Sus scrofa: one gene and its partners. The main gene of each other region encodes a partner of the protein of the gene in region 3 in a complex. Links are inferred from orthologs where the notes say so. Each region holds a gene or a part of one and is shown on either strand. Other genes may lie near its edges. The genes, in order: RBM10, MYSM1 and KIF11.

Region 1 (9,994 bases), on a different chromosome or scaffold from region 3:
TGATGGTTAAGCAAAAGGGGCTGTTTATCAGGCCTGGGCTTGGGCTGACTGCTTATCTGCAGATGTCCTTTATGGGAAAGAAAACAACTATATTGTTTAAGCCGTTATTCTTTGGATTTTCTGTTACAATCTGCCAAAATGAATTTTAATTTGTGATTCTTAATTACAATGAATCTTAACCAGCATCACTGATACTACTTAACATGGTACCAAAAGTCCTGATCAACACTGTGGGGAAAAAGAAATCAGAAGAGCCAGGATTGGTTTGTACACAACACGACCAACTACTTAGAAAGACCATCAAAACCAACAATGAATGATTAGAAATAATAACAAAGAGAACACAGCAGGAATAAGATAACTTACAAAAATCAAAAGCTTTCCTCCAGCCCAGGAAATACTAGCTTGGAAAATACAAAAAACAAGATGTCAATAAAAACTACTGAAGCACCTAGGAATTACCTTAAAGAATAAATGTCCAGATTAAACCCAAAAGCTTTTGCACAACAACGAAAACCATCAGCAGAACAAAACGATGACCTACTGAACAGGAAATATATTTGCAAATGATATGACCAATAAAGGGTTAATTTCCAAAATATATAAACAGCTCATACAACTCAACATCAAAAAAAAAAAAAGCAACCATCAAAAAATGGGCAGAAGACCTGAACATTTTCCCAAAAACATACAGACAGCTAACAGGCACAGGAAGAGATGCTTCACATTGTTAACTAGTAAGAGAAATGAAAAGCAAAACGATGGCATATCACTTCACAATCATCAAAACAGCTATCATCACAAAGTCTACAAATCACAAATGCTGGTGAGGATGTGGAGAAGAAGGGAATCCTCGGTGTACTGTGGGTGGGAATATAAGTTGGTGCAGCCACTACGGAAAACAGTCTGGAGGCTCCTCAAAAACTAAAACTAGAACTACCACATGACCCAGCAATTCCACTCCTGAGTATCTATCTGAAAAAAACAAAAACGCTAATTTGAAAAGGTACATGCAAAAAAAAAAAAAAGGGAGGGAGGGGAGTTCCCGTCGTGGCGCAGTGGTTAACGAATTCAACTAGGAACCATGAGGTTGCGGGTTCGGTCCCTGCCCTTGCTCAGTGGGTTAACGATCCGGCGTTGCCGTGAGCTGTGGTGTAGGTTGCAGACGCGGCTCGGATCCCGCGTTGCTGTGGCTCTGGCATAGGCTGGTGGCTACAGCTCCGATTTGACCCCTAGCCTGGGAGCTTCCATATGCCACGGGAGCGGCCCAAGAAATAGCAAAAAGACAAAAAAAAAAAAAAAAAAAAAAAAGAAAAGAAAAGGTACATGCACCCCCACAGCAGCATTATTTACATTATTTAGGTTGGAAGCAACCTAAGTGTCCAACAACAGATGAATGGATAAAGAAGATACAGTATATATGTATGTGCACGTGTGTATATATACATACAGACACACACGCACACAGGAATACTGCTCAGCCATTAAAAGAATGAAATTTTGCCATTTGCAACAACATGGATGGACTTGGAGGGTATTATGCTAAGTGAAATAAGTCAGAGAAAGAAAATTCTGATATCGCCTACATGGAATCTAAAAATTAACAAACTAGTCAATGTAACAAAAAAGAAACAGAATCCCAGATAAAGAGAACTAGTGGTTACCAGGGGGAAGAGGAAAGGGGAGGGCGAGATAGAGGTAGGGCATTAAGAGGTACAAATTACTATATATAACACAAGTAAGATACAAGGCTGTGGTGTACAGTAGAGTTCATAGCCAGTATTTTATAATAACTATAAATAATCTTTAAAAAATTATCACTATGCTGTACCCTTGAAACTTAAAAAGTATTGTACATCGTCTACACATCAATTAAAAAAGAACACCCAAGACTTGTATTTTTAGTTTATTCAGATTTACGGCCTTTAAATGAACTCCAAAATATTTACCATACAGCTCTTGGATGACTGCTTACAAAGATGACAATTCTCCTCAAATTAATAAAATTCAATACAATCTCAATCAAAATTCTTGAATTTTCTGAAGGACTTGATAAGCTTTTTACATAAGGCTCTGCAAATGGCTAGATCAACTCTGAAGAACAGATCACTGAAATGAATCAGATCATTCAAGACAGATCCATGTACATGAAGGAACTTGAAATGAGAGGTACTGCAAATTAATAAAGAAAGAACGGACTATTTCAGGGGTGATACTGGGAAAACTGCTCACCATTTGGAGGAAAATAAAACCAGAACCTACCTTATACCATATTCAAAAGTGGACTCTAGATGGATTTAAAGACCTGAGTGCAAAAGGCAGAACTACAGAGAATAACCTTTGTGTGATCCAGAGGTAGGAACAGAGAAGATTCTGAAAGGATAGACTGTAAGATGAAAAAGTGATCATTTTCAGGAGCTCCCATCATGGCACAGCAGAAATGAATCCAACTAGGAACCGTGAGGTTGCGAGTTCGATCCCTGCCTCACTCAGTGGGTTAAGGATCTAGCGTGGCCGTGAGTTGTGGTGTAGGTGGCAGACGAGGTTTGGATCCTGCATGGCTGTGGCTGTGGCCAGCAGCTGTAGCTCTGATTAGACCCCTAGCCTGGGAACCTCCATATGCCTCAAGTGCAGCCCTAAAAAAAGCAAAAGAAAAAAAGAAAAGAAAGTGATGATTTTCAGCACACCAAAATTAAGAACAGGTATAGAGCCTTGGGGAATGGCTAAATAAAAGGCAGTAGGCACACCTCAGGGTGTCCCTGGGACCAATTAGAAGCAAAAAACTAACATACATATGGCAACTAACATACATACAGACAGATCTTAAAAACGCAGTGCTGAGTAGTACAAAGTTCAGGAAACAGAATGAAGACTGTAGCACTCTACCATTTGTGTAAATTGAAAACACAGACACTGAAAACAACACTACATATTTTGGAAGGTACATTTCAAACACAACAGAGCAGCTGCCTACAGCTATGGGAATTGCAAATAAAAAGGAAAAAATAAATATAAGGTCTTGTACCAACCTATGATAGAAGCCTACCTTGAGGTGAAAAACTATGATTAACTCAAACCTTTGCACTTGGGGTCCTTTAAAAGCCAAAAGAAAGTCAGTGGTTTTATTTGGTAATAAAGTCTGAAGCAAGTATGTTACCTACACAAACTAAGAAATTGCCACAGAGCGCTTCCAGTGAATACCACCCAAAATTGAATGCCTTTCAAAAGATATTCTGAAACAAAGACTGATGATGACCACATCTAGAATTTGGGCTCAGTTTTCAGAAAATGAGATACTATAATTCTACAGTTTTTAAAAGGTAGAAGAAACCCTCTGTAAGACATTAAAAGGGATCTCTGTATTTTACCAAGTGTCCCAACTGTTTCTTGTTCATACCAGAGTTTAAAAATAACTATCCGAGAGTGTCCCATTCCAAGATAAATATCACACCAACTTCAACCCACCCTGTCCCTGAATCCCAGATCTTAAAAATGCAGTGCTGAGTTCTACCTGCTGACCTGGCTTGCCCCATACTTGACCTGGGCAATTCCTGATTCTGAAGGCACCACTCCCATCCATCCCTCAAACCCAAAGCTACAGCCCACACCTTTCCCCTGAGAATCCACAGGCACTTACAACCCACCACCCACCTGCCACCCACCTACGCCTCTCTTCCTGCAGGGGCTGTCCACATCTTAGTGGATGGCACCATATACCTATCTGGGTCAACCAGACTGGAAACCTGGGCATCAGCCTCCATTCCTCCCTTTCTCTTGATCCCTTCCCACCCTGTAACCAAACACGACACCAATCAAGCTGTTTTGTAATCATCTGTAACTGTGTAATATCCCCTGTGAGACCCTAAGTAAGGAGAAGGCTGCAATCCTATTTTTGTTGTTTTTATGGCCACACATCTGCAGCATATGGAGGTTCCCAGGCTAGGGAGCTATAGCTGCTGGCCTACACCACAGCCACCCCAGATCTGAGCCACATCTGCGACCTACACTGCAGCTTGGCAACGCTGGATCCTTAACCCACTGAGAGAGGCCAGGGATTCAACCCACATCCTCATGGACACTATGTTGGGTTCTTAACCTGCTGAGCCACAACAGGAACTCCAAAGGCTGCAATCTTATCTATCTCATTCACCAATGCACTCTCAGAGCCTAGCGCAAGTTCTGGCTCACAAGTGCCAAATAAACATCTGCTGAAAAGAAACCAATCATCTGCTGTGCTGTTTTTTTTTTTCCTTCCCCCTGCCCGGAAGCCCCCTCCCAGCGCTTTCCTGGGTCAGTTCGCACACAAGGACAAGCCTAGGCTGCTTGGAAGGGGTAGGAGTGGGTAACTCACCGTCTTTCATACTCCATGTCCTGATACGGCCTGCGGGGGCTGCTGGGGCCCCTCCTCAGCCGCTGGCTCCGTTTCACTTCCCAGCCACCCCCGCTGCTGCCACCATGATCTGCCAGCCTGGGCGATGCCTCCTGCAGGGACTCTAGGGAGAGGAGAAGGAAGAAAGGGGTCAAGGCAGTTGAGGCAGAGACGGGTTCCTTGAAAAAACCTTTTCAAGGCTCTCTGCTGTCCCTGAGCCCAGCGATGTTGTTTCCCAACTCGAAATACTCCTGGGGACCAGAGCAGGAAGGCAGTCCCTGTTTGGCTTGCTCCTTCCTTTCTTTCCCCACAAACGTGAAGCTAGAGCCCGCCACCCTAGACACAGCATAGCCTTCAGCAGAGGGGGAGCATCTCGCAGAGAGACCCAGTGGCGCCACCCATGCTGTCTGTGATCAGGGCTCTGCCATTGGAGACTGGTAGACAAGTTCAAGCCCAGAGCTATCTGCCCGGGCGGGCAGCAGGGGAGAGTGGGCTCTCAGTGCTGGGTGACTTGTCTCAGATCAGGCACATTAGACATCGGGGCAAGACACCACAACAGGGGTCCCAGGCACCCACCAGGCTACCATCCGCGAGCCTCCAGGGAATATTTCATCCTCCCCCAAAGACGCTGGCTGCCCACTCTGACACGGCAGGAGACCACGAAAGGCTCAGGGGGTGACGGGGCTAACTTGGCAATGACACAGCTGCCGCCTCCCTAGGCTCCTGGCCAACACAGTTTTGGCTCCGCACCGCAACTGGCTCAGCCCTGAGCCCTGTCTCTTATGCACAGCCAGGTCCCCCAAGGGGGCTCCCTCCCCAGAGCTCTGGACCCGAGTTGTTCAGAAGCAAAACGAGTCCTTTCGGAGCCTGTTCTGAACCGATGTGTTATTCCTCCGGGACGTATGGGCAGTCACTTTACCCAACCCTCAGGCTCCGGTGAGAACTAAGGAAGGCCTGAGAGCCTTGAGACCAGGCCAGGGGTCACCACAAAGTATCCCGGAATCTTTAGGCCCCACCCTCTGAACAAGACTCAGGCAAAGCCAGGTGGTAACAGCACCTGCCCCAAACTAGGTTGCCACTACACCTTTCCTCCGCGGATACACTCACACCGATTTTCTCTTCCTCCTCAAGCCACAGAGAACCAGCGCTACCCGCTCCCGGATGGCTAAGAGTTAGAATCACGACCAGGGGCTCCAGTGGATGAGAGCCGGACACAAAACCCTTTAGATCTGGCAAAGGAGCCAGGGTTATACACTGGTATCCACAACAGATAGGGAACAAACTCAACAGAGTCAAGCCCCGAATAACTAGGGGCCAAAATCACAGACAGGAATCCAGGGTAAATACAAGCCATAATCATCCACTGAGGCCCCCTTTCACAGGATGAGCGTCAGAGTAACAGATACGAAACACCCTCTTCCCCCACCCCCCACCCCCGCAAAGAAGGGACACTAAGTCTTACACACGTTCCTTGCACTTCCTCCCACCCAGTAAGTGGATTAGGGCCAGTTGTAAGAAGACTTTCTGGGATAAGGACCCCTCCCCATGGATAAGGACCAGGGTTACGGACACACGATCCGAGGATAGAGACCCCAGTCATACGTTCTCCCTCCTCCCCCACTCAAGAATAAGGACCAGAGCCACCAAACACTTCCCCGTGGATAGGTAAGTACCAAAGTCACACAGGAGAGCAGACAGCACACTTCCTATAGATAAAAACCAAAGTCGCAGACACTCGCCTCCCACGGATAAAGTTCGGCGTCGCAGACACACTAAGCCACAGTAACCCACTCCCATCCGTCCCTCCCTTCCCCCAACCCGCGTGCACCCATCCTGTGTCCCAATCGCGCACGCGCCTCTGCTCTCAAAAGGAGAAAAACAAAAAACAACAACAAAAAAAGACACCCCCTCCCGAGCACAGACCGTGTGAGCATCGGGGGTTCTGCACGAAAACCCAAACCTGCCGCCCGCAGTTCGCCCTCGCGCCTCCTCTACGCGTTCCCCCCCCCACCCCCGCCCCCGGTCCCTTACCTCCGCCCCCACGACCAGCGTCGACGCTCACCTTCTCGGCCCGGGCTGTCAAGGGAGGGCTCCCGGACATCACCTCGGCCCGCCGCCACCTCCTCCAACTCTCCCAGCTCAGCCGGAGCCGGTCCGCGCAACGACCCAGTCCGAGGCTGAATGCGGAAGGGCGGAGGACTGGGGAGGGAAGGAGCGCCCAGGCGCGCTGCCCTCCCCGGGCAACTCACTGCCGCCTACTCCCAGCCGGCCGCGATCACCAGCACAAAATGGCGACGACGAGAAGGGAGCCGGCGCTTCGACCACCATCCACCTACTAAGGGAGCGCGCTCTGGCCGGCCCCGTCTATTGGTCGCCGTCCTTCGTGGGCCAGCCCTGGCCTGCTCTGATTGGCAAGCGCATGCCACCACCCCGCTCCCCGTGCGAACGCCCGCAAGTCGAGAAAAAGAGTAGCTATTGGCCAATCCGGCGAGGCCCGCTTTTTAGAAGCTCGGCTTCCTAGGAAGATGAAAGACCAGCGGAAGCTCCGCCCCTCTCGCCAAAGGGCACGGGAACTCTCCTCGAGATTGGTTGGGGACTGCATCCACCCAAGTGTCACCGTTTTCTTCTCGTCAAGAAAATAAGCAGCCTTTTCGGCCAGAAATTCCACAGCCTGACCGAGAAGATAGGAAGCTGGTTGCTCCCGTGAGGCCATGACAGAGGGAGGGAAAGAGGACGTTTGAAAACAAAATCCCAACTCGGGACCTATTTAGTGCGGCGGGGGCGGAGCGACAATTCTCGCGCTCAGGCCCAACTGCAGCTGCGCAGAGTCACATTTCCGTCCCCGCCCCCGCGAGCCTGCAGAACGAGCTGTCATGGCGGCCGGGGTGTTAGGTTTGTGCGCTCGCCGCCTTTTAGCAGCAGCGGCGACGCGAGGGCTCCCGGCTGCCCGTGTTCGCTGGGAGTCCGGCTCCTCCAGGGCTGTGATCGCCCCGTCCGCTCTGGTGGGAAAGCGGCCGCCGGAACCGACTATACGCTTGCAGGAGGACCCAGATCCGGAGGACGAAAACCTCTATGAGAAGGTGAGAGGGAGGGGAAACGGGACGCCGCAAGGGTCAATCGGGGACCTGCGGACGGGGCGCCGTAGAGGACGTACTTAGTCGGCTGAGGATTGCGCAGCTGGCAAAATCCTCAAAGATTTGGGAGTTCTTTCTAGCTCCTTTTCCTCCTTTGTCCCCTGATAACCTTCGGTTCAGGGCCAGAGGCGAGACTGACCTTATTTTCCAGACAGATATCAAACCTGAAATGAGCAGTATACCATAACAGCAATAATATTAAACACTGATACGGTCCTTGCTCAGGTGTTCGAAACACTTTATAATATTAACTTATTTAATCCTCAAAACAGCCCTATTTCGAGGTAGGTACTATTAATATACCCATTCTGCAGATGAGGAAACTGAAGCATGAAGGTGTTAAGTGACTCCTCCAAGCTCACTTAACTGAATGTGTGGCAGAATCAGGTCTGCTGTGCTATCCTGTTAGCAGAGACTGAAATCAGAATGCCTGAGTTGGAATACAGGCCCTGATAGTTACTTACATATGTGACCTTGGGCGAGTAGCTTAACCCCTTGGTGCTTCAGTTTCTTTGAAAGATGGGGAAAGTATTAGGACACTTTCTAAAAAATAAAATATTACACCTGCCTCGTGTAATTAAATGAGTCAGAGTGCTCAGAACAGCAATTGGCACTTATTAAGTACTCACCATTAGAAGCTGTTAATTATTCTTGCCACTTTCCACCTTACCAGGATATTGTGCAGTTTGTGCTTGTGAAAAGGCCTGGCACGTGATAGATGCTTCATCAATACTAACCTTTGGTTGAGGAGCTTGGCTCTGTAGGATGCTTATTCATTTATATATTAATTCTGTAAATATGTATTGAAGGCCTGCTGTGTGCCAGGCTAAGTTCAGGGTGCTAGGGATTCAGCCACATGGGAGTTAGATAAAGCCCTTGCTTTCACAGAGCATACATGATAGCAGAGAACAGGGAAAATAAATGTATAGAATATTAGAAAACAGTGATATAGAGGAATTCCTGTCGTGGCTCAGTGGTTAACGAATCCGACTAGGAACCATGAGGGTGCAGGTTCGATCCTTGGCCTTACTCAGTGGGTTAAGGATCCGGTGTTGCTGTGGGCTGTGGTGTAGGTCGAAGACGTGGCTCGGATCCCAAGTTGCTGTGGCTGTGGTGTAGACCAGCAGCTACAGCTCTGATTGGACCCCTAGCCTGGGAGCCTCCACATGCCGTGGGAGCGGCCCTAGAAAAGGCAAAAAGATAAAAAAGAAAAAAAACCCAGTGATATAAAGTATGCAATCAATAATATAAGATAATGTGATCAGAGGATTTGGGGGCTATACTGCTTTGGCAAACAAGTAAATGCTAGAAAGACTGTTAAGCAAGATAAGTGAATGGATAGTGACTTGGGGTAGGGAGTTATTTTATTAGTTTGAGCCATAGGAAATTGCCAATATTCAATAATTTTTGACCTGTTAAAAATGTCAGTTTGCTCTAGCTCAACTTAATAGACAAGGTGACTAGGAAATGCCTCCTGAGGGGAGCGATGATGAAGCCAAAACCTTGATTGAGGAGGCAGATCCAGCCACAGCTAGGTCGGCGGGAAAAGCTTTCCCAGCAGAGGAAAGAGCAAGTGCAAAGGCCCTGTGGTGGGAAGGAGCTTGACAAATCCTAAGAATAGAGAGGAATTTAGGAAGGGAGGGAGGAGCTTGGTCCAAGGTGAAATTGGAGATCGGGTTATACTGCTTTGTGGAGTGGCAGGAAGCCTTCATTGACCTCTTCTTCTCTTTGCCTCAGAACCCAGATTCCCACGGTTATGACAAGGACCCCATTGTGGACCTCTGGAACATGCGGGTCGTCTTCTTCTTTGGCTTCTCCATCGTCTTGGTCCTTGGCAGCACCTTTGTGGCTTATCTGCCTGACTACAGGTGCATGGGGTGTCCAAGAGAGTGGGGTGGGTGGGGGCAGAGGCAGGGGTGGAGCTTTAAAGAGACTGTCAGGAATCCTGTCCCTGTGCAGCAATGGGAGCTAAGATGGGGATTGGTGTCCATGGAGGCTCCCTCAAGTCTACCCCCACGCTGCTGCCTCCAGGATGCAGGAGTGGGCCCGCCGGGAAGCTGAGAGGCTCGTGAAATACCGAGAGGCCAACGGCCTCCCCCTCATGGAATCCAACTGCTTCGACCCCAACAAGATCCAGCTGCCGGAGGATGAGGACTGACCTGGGGCCGAGAGAGGCTTAAGAAGCACCTCTTTCTTTATCTCCTGTCTGCCATTCTGCCCTTCTCTCAGAGCACCTAATTAAAGGGACTGAAAATGTGCCTGGCTGGTGTTGCTTTTGTTGTGAGGGGGCTGTGGGAGTGGGGGTGTCAGGCTTTAAAAGCTTTTTCTAGGTATGCAGGTTAGCTGTTGCCATGTGACAAACACCCTAAAACTTAGTGGCTTAAAACAATAATTTGGTATTATCTTTCATGGTCCAGTGGTTGACTGGGCTCAACTAGGTGGTCCTTCTTGGGGTCTTGCGTGGTTGCAGTCAGATGGTGGCTGGGCCCAG
Region 2 (10,134 bases), on a different chromosome or scaffold from region 3:
GAAAAATCTTCATTCTATAATTTTGGCTTTTTACTTAGATTCCCTCCCACTCAACACCTGTAAATTGGCAGAGTGAGAAGTGAGAACTTTTACATATTCTAATTCTCTGTCCTTGAACAAATTACCATCTCTGGGTTTCAGCTTATATAAATGAAAATGGAGGTTTGGACTGTATGACTTGACTTAGACTAAAGAGTCTAGCTGATTTTTCTTAACACTCTAATTTCTATTCAACAGTATAAAGAGTTGGCTCAAAAACACGGAGTCAGATCTCAGACTTAAAGGTAAAACAAAACAGGCAGAAGCATTATATACTAGCAGTTGGGGGCCAAATAAAATCTGTCTAGTAGCTAACAATGGTCTCATGTGTAAATTTTGCACATGTGTAGATTTTTAACCCTGAAATCTTTACTTTCCTCATAATCATTAAAGGATACTCTTCTTCCAACAACATTTTTTCAATGACAGCTCTGTTCTCTTCACTGATGGTGCTGTCCAGAGTCCAAGGCTATTTAAAAAAAGGAAGAATAGTTTTTATTTTCTGCATTTTAAAATTACCTTCTGTCTTGTTAAATAATGCAATGATTACAACTAAAAAAGCTACCACTTAGTGAGCACACAAACTTATCTTTGATTCCCACAATAATGCCATGATAGGCATTATTACTTCCATAGATGCATTCACTAACATTTCAAGTGGAAAAGGTGAGACTTGAGGCTTAGATTCCAAAGCTCAGGCTCCTACCGATGATAAAGTAATACTGTCTACCGTGTTTGAGGAACTATGAAGTATTAGGCATTTTGCTAGATACTTCACCTATTTCCAAAATTCACAATTCTTTTTTTTTCCCTTAGCCCACAATCTCTTCTTAAACAATCATACACCTTTTCAACTCTCAAAACTTAAAAATTTTCAGCTCAGGTCTCTTCTCCAAGTTCTTTTTAGACTATTTTAACTACCCACTCAAAATTTCCACTTGGATATCCAATAGACTTCTTATTCTCAGCATATTCAAAGCAGAACTCACCAGCGTATACCTTCACCTGCTTCTCCTCCTGCCTTCCCAACTTTGTAAAGAACACTTCCAGTCACCAAGCTATTCCAGCTAGAAACCCAGGCATCATCCCGGATTTCTTTCCTTTCCCCTCAATCCCCACATCCAGTACACCAAGCAGTGCCATCTCCAAAACATAATTCAAATCTGCCAACTTCTACCACAACCTCAGGCCAAACCACCACCAAATCTTGTCTAGATTAGTACAAATGTTTCCTGCCTAGTTTGATTCCCCTCCTCTTCCTACAGGTATGACAGAGCTGTCCTTTGCTTCTCCAACCTTGTCTTAGCTGTCATCCCCTCCCCTTTCCTACCATGCTCCAGACACTGGGTTTCAACCAGAGTCTTACTTCTATTCTTTCTACCTATAATGTTTATCCTCAACTCTTCACTTATCTACTCCTATTAACTTTTCAACTGAAACGTCACCTCCTCAGTTTATCTCACAGAGGAGGTAAACTTTATCTAAAGTAGGTTCCCCACCCTGATACTCTCAGTCAGCATCTTGCTTATGTTCTACATGATCTATAATTAGTCTGTCTGTTTACTACCTGACTCCTCTTTAGAATATAAGCACCTTGAGAACAGGATCATGTCTGTCTTGATGAGCTGTATCCCCCAAATTTGGCCTATTATGTCTGGCACATAGTAAGTACTTAATAAATAACTGCTAAATGAAGAAATGAACCATGCAATGATCCCATTTTTTTTAAGATGAACCAACTGAGGTTCACAAATCTGATAAGTGGGAGAGCACCGATGTGTACTTAAATCTAGCTGGCTCCAAAGTTGTTTCCAAAAGACCATTTTTCAAAGTCAAAAGAGGTAGAAGTAAGTTCATTCTATTTTTAATGAAAAAATACTTCAATGTATTACTTCTGTGCTGAGAACTAGAACCAAGTTTAAAAAAAAAAGTTCTCTAGGCACTGGACTTGATAATTTCACAAAATACTTACAATAAGACCATTCTCAGTTCTCCACGATGAATCAAGATAGTGGTCTTGTAAAACAGATGCTGTATTTTCATCACTTCTGTAATAATAAAGAAAATGGGTATAAGAGTGAGATTATACCAGTTAATGAATGTGATTTACACAGTACAATGACTGGTAGGCTTCAGATCTTAAGCAAATAATTTAGTTCCTTTCTCCCCTTAAGAGATTTAACATTGCAGATGTCTACTCTATGTCTGGCCTATGAAATATATAAGTGGCTTTAAGCCACGCTATTTTGATCAAGTCTGTTCACTTCTTTTGTTTCCTAAGAATAAACAACTTCCTGAGGAAAAAAAATACCCCAAAGCCACAACCACAATATGTCCTGTGGCTATGAACCAACTCTTCTGATTTTCTTTGATGGATATGAATGTGGATATAGGAATTCAATTTTACAATTAATTGTTTTGGTTATATCTAAAGCATAAAAGCTACCCATCAACAGCACCTTCCTCAAAAGAAAAATAAGAACAGATGGAAGAACCAAAAAGAAAATACTCAAAGGAGGACAGTACAATGCAGAGATAAGAAATGTGATGTTTTAATAACAATTAAAAAAAAGTTAGCTTGGGTTATTTGGGGGCTCTTCTACATCCACTGGTGATTAAACTTAATTTCCACTTCTTTCACTAATAAAAAGTCTCTAAAGTCACAGTGTTCACTTCATATGAAAAAAGGCTGAATGGTTAAGTTTGGGACAGTCCAATCTATGTTATAATTAAAGTTAATACTTGCTTCTGTATACTTTGAAGTTATAAAGTTTCTTAGCTACTGACCTTTCTCAGACGTAGTCTAGTGATAAGAATTTTGTAGCTCTTAAGACTGCAAAAACTTCTCTACAAGTTTATCTCCCTCTGGGACACACATAAGGTGTACTGTCTGTCTCATCCAATAAGAATGTTAGTTGTATGAGAACAAGGACTCTATATGCCGGGACTTGGCATATAGAAAATAACGGATATTCATTGAATGATTAAATGAACAAAGTAGGTAGAGCAGAAACACAGGTTTCTAGGACTTAAGGGATAAAGATTTCTTATCATAAAGCCAATTGAGGATTCTTTTTTTTTTTTTTTTTTTGTCTTTTTAGGGCCACACCTTCGGCAGATGAAAGTTCCCAGGCTAGGGGTCGAATCAGAGTTGCAGTCACTGGCCTACACCACAGCCACAACGCCAGATCCGAGCTACATCTGTAACCTGCACCACAGCTCACAGCAACACCAGATCCTTAACCCACTAAGTGAGGCCAAGGATCGAACCTGCGTCCTCACAGATGCTAGTCAGATTCGTTTCCGCTGAACCACAACGGGAACTCCTTCCCCAGTTGAGGATTAAGGGGAATAACATGATCAGATCTGCATGTTAAGAAAAGACTGCTCTAACTTCAGGAAAGAATAAAAGGGGGCCAAGGAGACAAGGAACAGTTAAGAGTGATTATATAAATACTTGAGAGAGGCAATGATAACTTAGATTTGAAGAACAAGCAGTGTGAATAGGAAGAATGAACACATATGAGAGGATATTCAAAATCGATAAACTCTTAATAAATGACTGAATAGAATGCGAGAAGTAAGGAAAAGGAATAAAGTCTACGTCTATGCCTTGTGTGACTGGGTGGACTGAACTTAGAGAACTTGGAGAGGCAGGTTGGATGAAGAAAGTTTATAAGCTGAGACTGCAGAACACCCAAGGGCAGAGAGATTCAGAAAATTGTATAAATGGACCTGAAACTCAGGAGAGAGATTTGAGTTGGTGACAAATTTGGGAAACATCATTTTTGTAGGTCAAAAATGGTGGGACATTGGCAAAATTTCATACTGTCCAACCTAACAAATAAATTTAAATCCTGAGAGACAGACTGTGTGGTTAGTGAAAAGTCTTATGACAAAAATCCCTTGGAACATTAAAGGTTTTTTTGTTTGTGTGTGTTTCCCTGCATTTGTGGCATATGGAAGTTCCCAGGCCAGGGGTCAAATTTGAGCCACAGCTGCAGCATCACCAGATCCTTAACCCACTATGCCACAGAGGGAATTTCAAAACATTAAGATTTAAAGAACAAGCAGAAGAAAACAAGAATGAGAAAGAGAGGCAGGATAGGTAGAAAGGAAATCAAACCATTGCAACGCCATCTTCTAACTTTGGTAACTAGCACTTAGCGAGACCTAAACATGTTTTTAATTAATCCTCAAGGCTTCCACAAATGCTATCAGCTGTAACTACACAATTCAAGTGTTTATTCACAAGAAATTCTATGTGATTGGAGCCCTAACACCAGGGAGCAATTTTCACCAGGATATGTTACTGATGCTCCCTGAAGTTCTGTAAGGCAATGGCTCTAACCATCAGGAACCAATAACCCTATTACTGGTTACATGAGACTAAGATGATCACAGGTGCCACCAATAAAACTGAGGCTCAAGCAAAATAATAAAAAAAAAAAGAGAGAGAGAAAAAGGGATAAAAATAAAATACAATCAGAAAAATAAAGAACCTATGGAAAACGGATAGATAGAGCCAATGCTCTCAGCTGATCTTTGGTGTTTCCAAGGCCAATTCATTTCTCTCTGGGCTGCAGATAAGAATCCCTCCCACTTATTTCACAGACTTGTGAAAAGCAAATTAAATCACACATGCAAAAGCACTTGTGCAAGATTAACGAGGTCTACACAAATGTGAACAATGATTGTTAGTAAACCCTTCCTATCCATTTGTATAGCTTTGGACTATTTTGCCTAAAGATTTGAGGGAGAATGACTACATGAAGTTGGTTACTCATTTTCACAGTGCTTTAGGGTTCAGAAGAACTTTAAACCCACTATCTTAGTTCCTCATGGGCAGGGCCAGTACACTTCAAAATTTACAGAGGCCCTATCACTAGGTTCGACCACGTGAAATTGCTTTTTAATAGGTCAAAACCGTCTAAGATTGGCAAATCCACATGGTTCTAGAGACTTCGAACGTTCTTTATAGGTACAAGCAACATAGCTGAGTTTAGAACTGAGGTCTTAGAATTCCTGACCCATCTGGGCCTTTTCCATTACTAAAAGGAGATTCTGAAAGCATATTTTAAAAATGGTTGCTTTCATTCCCTGCAAGCAAGGAGTCAAAGGGCTAGATGTCTCAAGCTGAAGGTTATTGTTTAAAACCCCACTGGCCTGCTCTGCAGGTAGAGATACTAAATAAATTGTGACACCCCCCCGCCGCAGTCCTCACAATACCACCCCTAGGGATAACGGGCCGGTAAAGAACACATCTACAGAGCACCTATCCCATAATCACTTCATTTTTTCTTCACAATAATCATACGAGGTACCTAACATGATCGTCAGCCTACTCACGAACTGTCTGAGGCTCAGACAAATTAAAAGTCTGGCCCAAGGTCACACTACTAGTATCTCGCAGGACCAGCCATTACAAGAGAACCCAAAGCTGTCTAACTCTACGTCCTGCCCTTTCCTTTAAGTCACGATACCTCTCTGGAAGTTTTTCACAACTATCCTTATGTGGAAGAGAAAATCGATAGGGAGTAGGGATAAAACGACACACCCAAGGTCACAGGGCTTGCAGGCGATGGTACCAGAATCCCTACGCTCAGGTCCCATCTAGGGACAGCCCTTGTTCTCATGATTATTGGGCGGTGGCAAGGGGGCGGATTCTAGGGTGACACTAACGGAAGAAGTAATTGCTTAAGAGCCCGCAATGTGCTAGGGGCGACCGGCGCCCTCACAGCATCCAAGCAAAAGGAGAAAACGCTGTCCGCCCCAAGTCTCAGGTACTCGCCGGCTGCGCTTTGGAAGAGCCGGGCGGCGGGATGGGCGCGGCGCCGCCCAGGCCTCTGGGAGACCCCGGCCCCAGCGGATGGTCTTTCGCTCCCCTGGACCCTTCCGGAACCCCAGCCTTTCTAGGGTACCCTTCTCACATCCGCGCCCCTCCTCGTCTCTGCAAAACCCGGTCTCTATGTCTCACCCAGACTGTGCCGCCGCTGGCATGACGTCCCCTTCGACATCCACATCCGCCTCTTCTGCCGCCATGATGGGACCTGACCCCAGCCGTGCTCTCGAGAGATCCCGCGAGAGGTGGAGGGCGTGAAGGCGGGGCTGCGTGCGTCACGGGGCGGAGTTGAGGCGTCGACCGGCCCCTCCCAGGCTCAAGAAGCGGGGCTTTCGGGGAAAAGATATTAGCGTCCTGGGTCTGGATTCTTCTGACTTTTGTTGACGTGTAAAGACCTTGGCAAGTGGCCCAGGCTTGGATTTTGAAGACGTTGTGGTCTTGGATAAATTCTTTGGCGCCTCGCTTCTCTAATTTGTAAAATGGGGTTTATACTAAATACCTGGAGTGCTGAAAAGATCAAGCCAGACGGACTTTGAATGTGAAAGTGGCAACAGCGACCCTTATCTGCTGGTTTTTATTTTTTAGAATAGAATCATTCAGCACTTATAAAAATGCTGAACATCTGTTTTAATATTCAGGAAAGAGTTTAGAATATAACTTAGGATTGTGTATTTTATTTCGTAGATATCTTTACAGTTAATTAAAAAATCACTCATCACCGTTGATCTTCACAATAACCTGGTGAGGGAGTTTCCTTATGGTACAGCAGGTTAAGGGCCCGGCGTTGTCGCTGCAGAAGCTTGTGGCAAGAGTTTGACCATAGCGCAGGAATTTACGCATGCCGCTGGGTGTGGCCAAAAAAACAGAAACAAAGAAAACGCCAAAACCCAGTGAGATAAGCAGGACCAATAACATCAGTCACCCTTTGCAGATAAACTGAAGCTCAGAAAGTTGAGATGACTAATGAGAAGGATGGACAGCTAGTCAAAGACAGAACTGGGACCAAAATCCAGACCTTTTGACACTTTACTGAGTGTTTACCTGTACAAATTGTGTTGTTAGGAACTGTGAGAGACAAACACCATTTCTCTCAAAGAACTTAAGGCTTTTTAAGAAATTAAATATTACCCTTATGTATTCTTCTACCTTAGCATCTATCATTCACATTATTGTAGCTGTTAATTCATTTTTCTGCCTCCACCATCTGACTATGAATTCATTAAGGACAAAGGCTGTATCTGCTAGTCTTTGGACTAGTCCTTAAGGTATCAACATTCAACATGATGTCTGACACAGTTGGTGCTCAATAAATATTGAACTGATGAGTGAATCAATCAATTAATGGAATGAATTCACTTCCCACAATATTCTGAGTTGGCCCCAATGCACCCTTGCACTCAAGCCATAAGAGGAGCTGTAATACAACTGTGTGGCCAAAGATGGAGAGAAAGTTTTGTAAAGAGAGAGATCCAGTGCTCAGAAACTGAATAGTGCTCCATCCTTAAGTTATCCTGTTGCTAAAGGGCCTATCCTGTGACCAGTCTCAGTGGTAATTGGCATGCTTGGCACAGAGTAGGCTTTCTAAGATATTTGTTAGATGTAATTAATAGCAAGGTTAGAAAGATGGACATGGCCAGATGGTCAGAGCTGTAGAATATAGATGCCTTTCATTGATCTTTACAAAACAAGTGGGATAGGAACCCTTGTAGTACTACCTGGACACACAGGGTATCAAATGTCTCCTAGACACAAAATACCATATGAACAGTGTCTCCTATAATACAGAACTGAAGTCTTTCTGGCCCAGTATTAGGCATCAATAGGCATTAAAATATATATGGAAGGAAGGAAAGTCCTGCACAGAATTCCAATATGCCCCAAGGCCTTTAGGCATAAAGGCCTCCCTAAACAGGGAGACTAATATGAATCCTCCCCACACATGCGCCTATGCACCTGGTTTGCTGGCTTTATGTGAACGAGGCTCCTTAAGGGTATAGCTCAACCCTACCTGCAAGGAAGTGGCTATAACCCCACAGTTGAATACACTCCCGAAGCCTGGTCTACTGTTTAAATTTAACTATTTATTTAAAAATATATAGGAGGAATTCCCATCGTGGCTCAGTGGTTAACAAATCTGACTAGGAACCATGAGGTTCTGGTTTGATCCCTGGCCTTGCTCAGTGGGTTAAGGACCCAGTATTGCCGTGAGCAATGGATCCCGCGTTGCTGTGTGCTCTACAGCTCCGATTAGACCCCTAGCCTGGGAATCTCCATATGCTGCGGGAGCGGCCCTATAAGAGGCAAAAAGACAAAAAAAATTTAAAAATTAAAAATATATAGGAGTTCCCATTGTGGCACGGAGGAAACGAATCTGACTAGTCTCCATGAGGATGCAGGTTCGATCCCTGGCCCTACTTGGTGGGTTAAAGATCCGTTGTTGCTGTGAGCTATGGTGTAGATTGCAGACGCTGCTTGGATCCTGTGTTGTTATGGCTGTGGCATAGGCAAGCTGCTGTAGCTCCGATTTCGACCCCTAGCCTGGGAACTTCCATATGCTGCAGGTGTGGCCTAAAATAAAATAAAATAAAATAAATATAGTCACTTTCATTTTAGAGATGAGGAAACTAAGTTTCAGATAGTTACATAGTTGAGTACCAGAGCTGGGTTTCCAACACAAGTCTTTCCCACTCTACCCTTACTCTGTTACATTTTCATTTACCACAGAAAGAATAGGGTATTTTGTGTTACTATGATATTTTCTCACTTGGTTTAAGAATAAATCACAATCAGGTATTTCTGATGTCTTTGAGGTGCTTAGGGCTAGAAATGAATGGAAAGTGTATTCTGAAGCCTGGAAACTTGTCTTGGGTTTACAAACTTTCTGTGCCTCATTAATACACTCTATTTCCTTTGTTGATCCTAAAACAGAATTAGCAGGAGTTGCCATATCTGTAAATTTTCCTGAGTTTTTGGAGGAACAATCAATCAAGTGTCTGTCTCATATCTCTGCTACATTGTGTTTGAATTTATTGGAGAGATAGCTTGATAGCTTATTCATTTCATTTTCTCCCATTTCTGGTGAAAAAAAAGATCACTGCATTTTTATTGAAAAAGCAAAGTATGGTGGCAATATTAATCCATAAAAAGCTGGCATGTTAGTAGTCATGCTAATTAGCCCAGATTTGTAAAGTGCTTTAAAAGTGGGAAGTGTCATACAACTGCTCACTAATGTTGTTATTATATTATGATCCAAATTGTCAGCTAAATGATTGCCAGGGATTGAAAAGAGTTCCCATTTGAAAAGCAAAAAGGCCAGTGAGTGGGGAGGAAAACCACTTTATCTAAATAGAGGTGAGATAATAGATGAATGCAGACATAGAATTAAAGGCTACACTTGGCAAGCATTGGATGTGGCTTGAATTGTTCCAGGAAAGCAAACTGCATTTTATTTTATTTTCCCTCCACAATTCCCTGAAATCACATAAGGTGCTACTGAAAAAACTGTTCTCAGTATGTTGTAAGGAAAGTCTGCCAATGCACTTCTTACATTTTAATTACAGTAATGTTGCATCCATCTGACATTATTTGGAAGGGAATGAAAAATGCCAGCATTAATGAGTTCCTACTGTGTGCCAGGCATTTTACATACATTATTTCTTTACAGCCCTTTGAGGTAAGGAATTGTTACTTCTATTTACAGATGTGGTAGCTGAGGTTCAGAATAGTCAAGCAATTTACTCAAAGAAATGTAGCTTATCATCTTTTTGTCACATCATGCCATCTTAGGTTGGGTACTAATAGTATCATTCAGAATTGCATCTTTTCTTCTTCAGTAGCCCCCAGTGGAAGGCTTATGTCTCTTTCTAAATTGTTCTAGGAAGATGAGTGTGGTGGGCCATGCTTAAGTCTTATACTATCTCAGAAACCAGGTGGACCACACGGGATTAGGAGGAATGGTGGCTCCCCCCAAAAATAAGAGGAATGGCTGCTGTGTTGGTAAAACAGCAGATGCCCACTATGCTGTTCCATGTTGCATTTCCTCTCTGTTATGTTACCTCGAGCCTTACGTACAATCTGAAAACCACTACAGGCTTCTGTTAGAATTGCTTCAGGCAAATTACTTGCCCTCTCCAGACTCCTACTTCTTCATTCGTAAAATCACCCATGAAATAATCTCTTCTGGGGTAAAATTCTTTGTTCCTGTTCTTATTCATCTCACACACAATTATTGAACATTGTTATGGGCAAAACAG
Region 3 (9,387 bases):
GGAGTTCCCTGGTGGCACAGCAGGTTAAGGACACAGCATTATCACTGCTATAGCACAGGTTTGATCTCTAGCCCGGGAACTTCTGCATGCCATGGGTGCAGCCAAACAAACAAACAAAAAAAAGAAATAACGTCATAAACCAATAATTTAAGAAAAACAGAAATTTCATTCTATGATTGGTTTATAACTCAAGTTTTTTGTGTTTTGTTTGTTTTTAGGGCTGCACCTGCAGCATGTGGAAGTTCCCAGATTAGGGGTCAAATCACAGCTGCAGCCTCTGGCCTACACCACAGCCACAACAACACCAGACTCGAGCTGCATCTGCTACCTATGTCGGAGCTTGCAGCAACACTGGATCCTCAACCCACTGAGCGAGGCAAGGCCAGGGATCAAACCCACATTCTCATGGATACTAGTCAGGTTCATTTCCACCAAGCCACAACGGGAACCCTATAACTTAAGTTTTAAAAATGGAAAGCTAGGAGTTCCTGCTGTGGTGCAGTCTCTGCTGTCTCTGTGCAGTGCAGGTTCAATACCGGGCTCAGTGCAGTGGGTTAAGGATTTGGCATTGCCACAGATGTGGCCTGGATTTGATCCCTGGCCTGGGAACTCCATATGCCATGGGAGCACCTGAAAAAGGAAAATAAAAAGGAAAGCTATTATAGGAAAAATTAATTAAAATTATAAAATAATCTATACCCCTACGATGTTATGTTATTCTTCTTCTTTCTTTAAATGCATACATATTTAGAGTTGTAGTTATACTTGCTATAGCATAGTATAGAAATGTCCAACTGTAAGAGAGCAAAAAAATGAGAACTAGCCCTAAAAGTCCTTCTCTAGCTCAGGGAGAATGATATTCAGGTAAGTTTACCTAAAGTAACATATTTAGTTGACTGCAGATCTGGAACTAATCTCAAATATCTAACTCCTAATCCATAACTCTTTCAATTACATTCTGACATTTCTTCGAAGATGAGTAGAAAAAAAATCACCTCTGACTTGGTAAACTGCATTTGGGGAGTCTGGGATTCATCCTATAAGGGATGCTAACAAATATGCTCCTTTCTCCCCTTGAAAGCCAGTGTTAGTGACCATTTGCCTTCCTACATTAAAATGAAGCCATTTTGGGAAAAAAAAAAAATCACATCATACAACCTAAATATATACAATTTTTGTCATCCATACCTCAATAAAGGTGGGAGGGGGGAATTGTTATTTGATGTTCTTCTAATCCTTGCTCAAACCAGCGATTTGCAAACTGTGTTCTAAGTATCCATAGGGGCTCCAAAAAAGTGCTTAAGGAGAATTTTCCTAAGGCTGAGGAGATAAGCCTCTGAGCTTCCCATTGCCAAATCAACTACAACAGTTGCATTAATCTGGGCTCCCACATACGATTTCATTTGGGTAAAGAAATCTTCTGGTTAAAAAGACTTAATACTCTGCTCAAGTTCAGCTTGTCTTTGTTCTCCTTTCAACATTTTCCCAATATTGGTGCTATCCCTATAAATCTCAAGCCAATTACTAAGGCCTGCAATCTAGCATACAGTCTAGATGTGTGACTCACTGACTTTGACCCAATTTGATTGCCCAAGTTCATAATTCTTCTTAAAGAGGGAGTGGAGTAGTGGGGGAGACAATGGCTTTCTCACCTCGAGTAGGCATTCATCAAAGTTGCTGCAGTTGTCCTTTTTGCTGCTCCCTTCTCCAAAATTTGATAGACCTCATTCTTGTTATGTACCGTAATTTCTTCTAAACCTTTGATTATCACTCCCCTCTGACCAAATATTAAATGGCATTCATTAGATTGGTTATATATGGAGAAAGAGAGAGAGAGACTTTTCAAAGTATAAAACTGTAACATTTAGAGACATTTTATTCTCCCAAGACTGAAGTTACCTTGTTACGGGGATCATCAAACATCTGTAGTCTCTCAGAAACATCAGAAGATGGATTAAGAAGATCAAAAAGCTCTTCATTATAGATTTCCAACAGAGACACTTTGACTGAAAATTCAGTACCATTATCAGTAAGTTTCTCAAAAATTTGATGAAGAGTACGTGGAATTATACCAGCCAAAGGGTCCTAAAATTATAATATTCATAAGCACTTAAATAAAGCATGAATGCCATTTACTGCAACAGTTAAGACATAGATAAAAAGGGCCTCTTTTATAGTATATTTAAACATAAGAATGTCAAAACAAGGAAAAAAAAAAAAACTAACCAAATTTAAGAAGCCAACTTTTATAAATCATTTACAACAGTCTGTTCAATAGTAATTATTCTTCCTCCCACCTTCCACAAATCTGTCATTCTCAGCAGCCACTTCATGCCTGAGCATTACACAGAAACCAACTAAGCCAAGGTACTTATAAAGCCAAGTTCAATAACCCTTGCCAGTTTTTCTCATCAGAAATAATACCATCACTTTAATCGGAAAAGTGGCTCACCTAACAGTATATTCCCTAATTCTGACATAAAACAAATTGTTTCTCAAATTTCTAGGTATACTTTTTTTCTTTTTCTTCTTAGGGTCCAGCCTAGGGGTCGAATCAGAGCTGCAGCTGCCAGCCTACACCACAGCCACAGCAACTGGATCCAACATAAGCTGAATCCTTAACCCACTGATTCCACTCTCCTACAATACTCTGCTCCAATTATTCTGTCCTAAATAGGCCCTTCTCTTATCACTTTAACTGTGCCATATGTATTGGTCCTCTCTCTCCTAATTACCATACCATATTCTTTAATTTTATTACAGTAGCAGTTTATCTTAACTTTGTGTTTTATATGCATACACTGATCTTTTCCATTTCAAGACAGAGGCCTTCAACCAGCTTTTATTCAGTATACTTTAGCCACTTTAGAAACACAAGTCTGTTATAAACAATAAATACCTCCTCCCAAGTATACTCTTCATTAGGGGACCTTTCACCTTCCATTGTAAACGTTTTTCCGGTGCCAGTTTGGCCATATCTGTCAAAATTAACAAAAGTGTTAAACAAACAAACAGAAACCAAATACATGCATCTAAACCTTTTCATCAATTTAGAAAATAATGTTTCACTCACGCAAAAATAGTGCAATTATAGCCCATAATAACTTCATCCAGAATTGGACAAACAACACTTCGGTAAACATCAATTTGTTTAGTAGATGCTCCAAAAACCTATCCAAAAAAGGGGGGGGGGGTTTATTTTTTTAAAAAGATTCAAAATTACTTTAATAATTTTGGTTTTAATATATTAACTTATTTAGCCCACTAGAAACCATTTGACAACTCAAAGAATCAAATGAAATTTGCAACTGCATGCTAGAACCTAGAGAAAATATGTATACTAGGAAATCTTTACATTAGTGAATAACAAAGAAGTAGCAGCATTTTAGGAAGTAAGTACCATATCAAAAGTATATGTTTTCCGTGAGCTCTTGTCAGCCAGTCCTCCAGTTCGTACACTAACTTCTTTCCTTACGTGGTCACATTCTACTACAGAATGGGCATTAGCTTTCCGTTCTGCCAAATTAAATGGTCTATAAAAAGAAACACACAAGGTTATTCAAAATCTGTTAGGTATCAGGTACTGATGACATTTTTATTAATACCTCAGAAAAGAACAATGTGAAGTTTTACTACACCATTGTTGACAGTGATTAAATGGAGCCTAAAGAATACTGCAAAAGCCAAGAGCAGAATCTTAAGGATTTCAATTCCTAGAAGTTTTTTAAAAAAAGTTTTGAAAAGTATGTACAATTATGACAGTTTGTTGGAGTAGATGCTAACAAAATTGATAAAAATAATGACTAAGGGTTCCTGTTGTGGCTCAGTGGTTACGAACCCGACTGGTATCTATGAGGACATGGGTTCAATCCCTGGCCTCCCTCAGTGGGTTAAAGGATCCAGCATTGCCATGAGTTGTGGTATAGATCGAAGATGTGGCTTGGATCTGGTGTTACTGTGGCTGTGGTATAAGCTGGCACCTGCAGCTCCAATTCAACCCCTAGCCTATGAACTTGCATACGCTGTGAGTGTGGCCCTGAAAAGACAAATAATAATAATAATAATGACTGATATATTGAGTACTATGTCAGGTATTCACTGTTCCAAATGCTTTATACACCATGTTAACTCAACTTGTCCTCACAAGTGTGAGGTCTAGTGGGGAACAGTGACATAAAACAAGTGATTCGAAGAGAAGTGATGTTTAGAAAGGGTAAGTAAAAGGTGCTGTAGGAACATAGAGCAAATATTTAATGTGCTCTAGAGAGATCCCATCGTGGCTCAGTGGAAACGAATCTGACTAGCATCCATGAGGATACAGGTTCGATCAATGGCCTCACTCAGGGGGTTAAGGATCAGGTGTTGCCGTGAGCTGTGGTATAGGTTGCAGATGAGGCCTGGATCTGGCGTGGCTCTGGCTGTGGCTGTGGCAGGCAGTTGCAGCTCCCATTCAACCCCTAACTTGGGAACTTCCACATGCCATGGGTACAGCCATAAAAAGATGACCAAAAAAAAAAAAAAAAAAACTCAAAAAATTTAATGTGTTCTTGATTGGGACAGGGAAGGCATGAGTGTTAGGAAAGACTCCGTGAGGAAGAAATCTAAGCTAAAGGCTTCCTTAGGCACTTGAGTATAATGATGACTCTTGATCCAGTCCACTTGGGCAATGTAGTCCTTTAAGCCTGTCTCCTCATTTGAAAATTGAGCTTGGTAATAGTACCAACCTCACAGTGTAAGCAAAGATCCTGTTTAATTTACTGTTTCCCTAGGGTCTATTACCATGCTCAGCACACACTAGACACTCAAATATCTATTAAACTATACTGCTTAATAGATGTCATCTTAAAGAGAATGATGGGAAAGCTAAAAAGAACCATGCATAAGATACTGATGTACTTAACGCACATCTGGGCCAAAGGGAGAGGTATACTCTTTTTTTGTTTGTTTTTAGGGCTGCATCTGCAGCATGTGGAAGTTCCCAGGCTAGGGGTCAGATCAGAGCTGCAAATGCCGGCCTACACCACAGTCATAAGCAATGCCAGACCTGAGCTGCGTCTGTCTCCTACACCACAGCTCATGGAAATGCTGGATCCTTAACCCACTGAGAGAGGCCATGGATCAAACCCATGTCTTCATGGGTACCAGTCGAGTTCTTAACCTACTAAGTAACATGGGAACTCCCAAGAGGTACACTCTTAAGACCTAAGTTCATTTTTCCCATTCATTATCACATATTGTGACAGGAAATGCCAAACAGGAAATTATCTTTGCCCTCATCACTAAATGAACCAAGTTGCTATTTATTTTAAAAAGGATATGTCCTCTGGCATGCATGCCCCCACACTTAGCATATTTTGACTGGTCAGAAGATCAAATTGTGATCTTAAGAAATTTAACTCAGTAACTCCCAGGTAATATCTGGTAATGCTGTCATTTATCAAATGTATGAAAACTTACACAATGCACACAACCCACTGTATGCAGTATTTTAAATGTTCAACCAAATTGAGTCAAAACAAACTTATACTGAGGTAGGCCAAAAGTATCAGATAGAATGAATTGCTCTCATGTGGTTAAAGCTTTTCCAATTGGTCGAATCTCTTGTCTGGTTGTGTGATTAAGGTACCAAATGAATACCATTCAAGTTCTCAGGTCAGAGTAATAGAAATTCACACAAGTCACACATACTAAGTTATTAATACTCCAAGAGGAGCTTTAGGAATTGTTCGTACTGCAATAAAGAATACTGTCGGAGTTCCCATTGTGACGCAGTGGTTAACGAATCCGACTAGGAACCATGAGGTTGCGGGTTCGGTCCCTGCCCTTGCTCAGTGGATTAACGATCCGGTGTTGCCGTGAGCTGTGGTGTAGGCTGCAGACGCAGCTCAGATCCCAAGTTGCTGTGGCTCTGGCGTAGGCCGGTGGCTACAGCTCTGATTCGACCCCTAGCCTGGGAACCTCCATATGCCGTGGGAGCGGCCCAAGAAATAGTAAAAAGACAAAAAAAAAAAAAAAAAAAAGAATACTGCCAAGCCACTATTTTCCACCCAGACTTCTCTAATCAGAAACTTCAAGGTTTCTGCTGATGACACTAACAAACCCATCAATACATTGACTTCATTACAGTTATATTAAAATTCAAACAACCAAGATGGTAAGAAGGGAAATTGAAAATTAAAAGGAGTTCCCGTCGTGGCGCAGTGGTTAATGAATCCGACTAGGAACCATGAGGTTGCGGGTTCAATCCCTGGCCTTGCTCAGTGGGTTAAGGATCCGGCATTGCCATGAGCTGTCATGTAGGTCGCAGACACGGCTTGGATCCTGCATTGCTGTTGCTCTGGTGTAGGCCAGCGGTTATAGCTCCAACTAGACCCCTAGTCTGGGAACCTCCATATGCCGTGGGAAGCAGCCCTAGAAAAAGTCAAAAAGACAAAAAAAAAGAAAAGAAAGAAAATTTAAAAAAAAAGAAAAAATCCTGTCAGTGGAAATCCATTCATTCATTCATCCATAAATATTCATATAATTAGTTACTATACAAGTAAAGAACATCAAAAAGATTGTGTTCATTGTAATCAAGTAATGAGGTCATCTATCTCTCTTGAAATCTTGCTAATCTCTTACACTACAATAAACTGTGCCAATTAAAAGTTTAAAACTGAAAAAAAAAAAATTAGAGAAGAGTATGTGACAGAGACCACATGCAGTCTGCAAAGCCTAAAATATTTACTATCTGTGCCCTTTGCTGAAGGATCTGACAACCCCTGAGGGCCTCATAGTTGTTTATTTACTCAAGCTTAAGGACATACTTGCACTAGGAAGGCTATTTGAAATAGAAAAAGCCATAGACATAGAGAACAGACTTGTGGTTGCCAAAGAGGAAGTGGGAGGGAATGGGATGGACTGGGAGTTGAGGGGTAGTAGATGCAAACTATCACATTTGGAATGGATAGACAATGAGGTCCTACTGCATAGGACAGGGAACTATATTCGATCTCCTGAAATAATAAACTGTAATGGAAATGAATATTAAAAAAAAGGATATAATCTGGACAAAGCCTTCATTCGAAAAGATACATGCATCCTATGTTCACTGCAGCAATATTCACAATAGCCAAGACATGGAAACAACCCAAATGTCCATCAACAGACAACTGGATAAAGAAGATGTGGTACATATATACAATGGAATACTACTTAGCCATAAAAAAGAACAAAATAATGCCATTTGCAGACATGGATTTTCATACTAAGAGATTCCCATAGTAAGTGAAGTAAGTCAGACATGATATCACTTATATGCAGAATCTAAAATATGACACAAAGGATCCTATCTGCAAAATAGAAACAGATCATGGACATGGAGAGCAGACTTGTGTTTACCAGGGGGGAGGGGGAAGAGACAGGGATGAATGAGGAGTTTGGGGCTGGTAGATGCAAACTATTACATTTAGAACGGTTAAGTAATGAGGTCCTACTCTACAGCACAGGGAACTGTGTACAGTCTCTTGGGTTGGAACATAATGGAAGATAGCATGAAAAAAAAAGAATGTGTGTGTGTGTGTGTGTGTGTGTGTGTGTGTGTGTGTGTGTGTGTGTGTGTGTGTGTGGCTGGGTCACTGCTGTATAGCAGAAATTGAAAAAACGTTGTAAATCAACTATGCTTTAATAAAAAAATTTTTTAAAAGAAAAAAATAACTAGGTCACTTGGCTATACAGCAGAAATTAGCACAACACTGTAAATCAACTGCACTTTTCTAATTAGTCTAATCTGAAAAGAAAAGCATTTCTTTATACTGAAATTGTTACAAATATTAGACACATCCCAAGCACTTTTCATTAGCGATAAACTAAAATAAATCTCTTTTAAGTTAAGGCTTGAAATGTATTGGAATAATAAACACGAGTTCAGAATAATGTTTAACTTTTGGGGAGGGATACAATGGGACACCAGCTGTAATGACTGTTTTGTTTCTAATCTGAGTGATGGATACACAAATGTTTGTTACACTGTTCCTTGTAATTTTTTACAGGTCTGACCTATTTGTAACTAGCAATAAAAATGAAATTTAAAAAACTAAAGCCCCACAGAAAAGGTAATACTGCCTGATGTCACTAAACAATAAAAATCATGTGAAAATTTGCATTTGTAACATGGGCTGCTTTTTAAAAAATCTTCAAAACAGGTTAACTATTAGCAGAAGCCCTAGAGTGCAACTAGTAATTGGTTATACTTAAGTTTACCATCAAATTTCCTCTCTGGCATCCAGTTTAAAAAGCTATTACCTTTGATATCAACAATTCAAGTCACCAAAGCTGTGTAGGCAATAACCTAAGAAAGTTTGTTGATACACTTTGAAAATAACCTTTTAATTTTAGAATATGTTTGGATTTCCATGAAAGTTGCTGATGGCAGAGTTTTTGAAACAATAACAACAAAAATAGACACACAAAACACACATACACCAGTAAACTGTAAAGGGCCTCTAAAAAGCTGAATAAATCCAATTAAGCAATTTGTACAAGTATGTTTTTCCTCTCCTAGTTCATTTTAAAATCGGGAAGTGATATGGAAACTAATCGAGGGAGAGTAGAACACCTTCACCCACCCACTGGGAAAAAGCCTTCTCCTTTGGACAAGAGAAGACCAAGTACAGTACAACTTAAGTTGTCTCCTCGATCTTTTAAAAACAAACTCACTCTACGACTTAATTTTAAAACGTTAAATACAGCGCTGTTTGTTTAATAGGGATTAAGGAAATATTTCATTTAGAATAAAGAGAACAGGTGACTGAATATGTTTTTAGAGGTTATGAAGTATGATAATCCCAAGACAAATGTTAAAACATTTGCAAAGTAGGTGTGCAGTCTTATTTCCAAACTGACCAACTGTTAGGAGTGACATATAAAAGTGACGCCTAAATCTCTGTCGACAGTTTGAAAGGAAAAAAAAAAAAAGCTCTTTTCAACAAAGAACAGCAATCAATTCTCCATAGCTGCTTAAACTACAAAGTCAGACACAAATATCCTTTCTTCTGAAAACACTAATTTACTCGCCGCAGCAACCTGGTGTTATTTTACCGAACTGAACGCGGGGAACTATGAAATAGGAAGGTCTGGTTCCTTCAAAAGCTGCAAACAAAATCGCTCTCCTCCAACCGCGCAGGAGGGAGCCCCACAGCAAAGCCCGGAGCTGGGAATCCAGCCAGGCTCGCCCTACCTGCATCTCACCACCACCTGGATATTCTTTCCCTTCTCATCTTTCTTCTTCGTAGAGGAATTCGGCTGAGACGCCATGACTGTCCCCGCCGAAAATCAAGGCCTGGTCTCAGACTCCTGCGCCCAAGGGCGTGGAGTGGCTCTGCAGCGTCGTGGACCTGGGTGATCTCC

What was found.
Region 1: KIF11 (region 3) and RBM10 share a complex: the UniProt entries of both Homo sapiens proteins name them as parts of the large chromatin remodeling complex. The link is inferred for Sus scrofa from reciprocal best matches to the Homo sapiens genes KIF11 and RBM10.
Region 2: KIF11 (region 3) and MYSM1 share a complex: the UniProt entries of both Homo sapiens proteins name them as parts of the large chromatin remodeling complex. The link is inferred for Sus scrofa from reciprocal best matches to the Homo sapiens genes KIF11 and MYSM1.

Annotation. Positions count from the first base shown.
Region 1 is NC_010461.5:41,770,696-41,780,689, reverse strand, and holds the start of RBM10 (RNA-binding protein 10), read right to left. Parts: upstream 6,793-9,994; 5' UTR 6,471-6,792; coding exon 6,401-6,470; intron 4,494-6,400; coding exon 4,352-4,493; intron 1-4,351. Other genes in the region: NDUFB11 (NADH dehydrogenase [ubiquinone] 1 beta subcomplex subunit 11, mitochondrial), read left to right, coding at 7,243-7,449, 9,241-9,564. UniProt on the Homo sapiens protein: Binds to ssRNA containing the consensus sequence 5'-AGGUAA-3'. May be involved in post-transcriptional processing, most probably in mRNA splicing. Binds to RNA homopolymers, with a preference for poly(G) and poly(U) and little for poly(A).
Region 2 is NC_010448.4:153,752,144-153,762,277, reverse strand, and holds the start of MYSM1 (histone H2A deubiquitinase MYSM1), read right to left. Parts: upstream 6,539-10,134; 5' UTR 6,082-6,538; coding exon 6,017-6,081; intron 2,088-6,016; coding exon 2,012-2,087; intron 509-2,011; coding exon 438-508; intron 1-437. UniProt on the Homo sapiens protein: Metalloprotease with deubiquitinase activity that plays important regulator roles in hematopoietic stem cell function, blood cell production and immune response.
Region 3 is NC_010456.5:104,126,028-104,135,414, reverse strand, and holds part of KIF11 (kinesin-like protein KIF11), read right to left. Parts: 5' UTR 9,295-9,387; coding exon 9,218-9,294; intron 3,534-9,217; coding exon 3,401-3,533; intron 3,172-3,400; coding exon 3,074-3,171; intron 2,979-3,073; coding exon 2,900-2,978; intron 2,086-2,899; coding exon 1,900-2,085; intron 1,778-1,899; coding exon 1,653-1,777; intron 1-1,652. UniProt on the Homo sapiens protein: Motor protein required for establishing a bipolar spindle and thus contributing to chromosome congression during mitosis. Required in non-mitotic cells for transport of secretory proteins from the Golgi complex to the cell surface.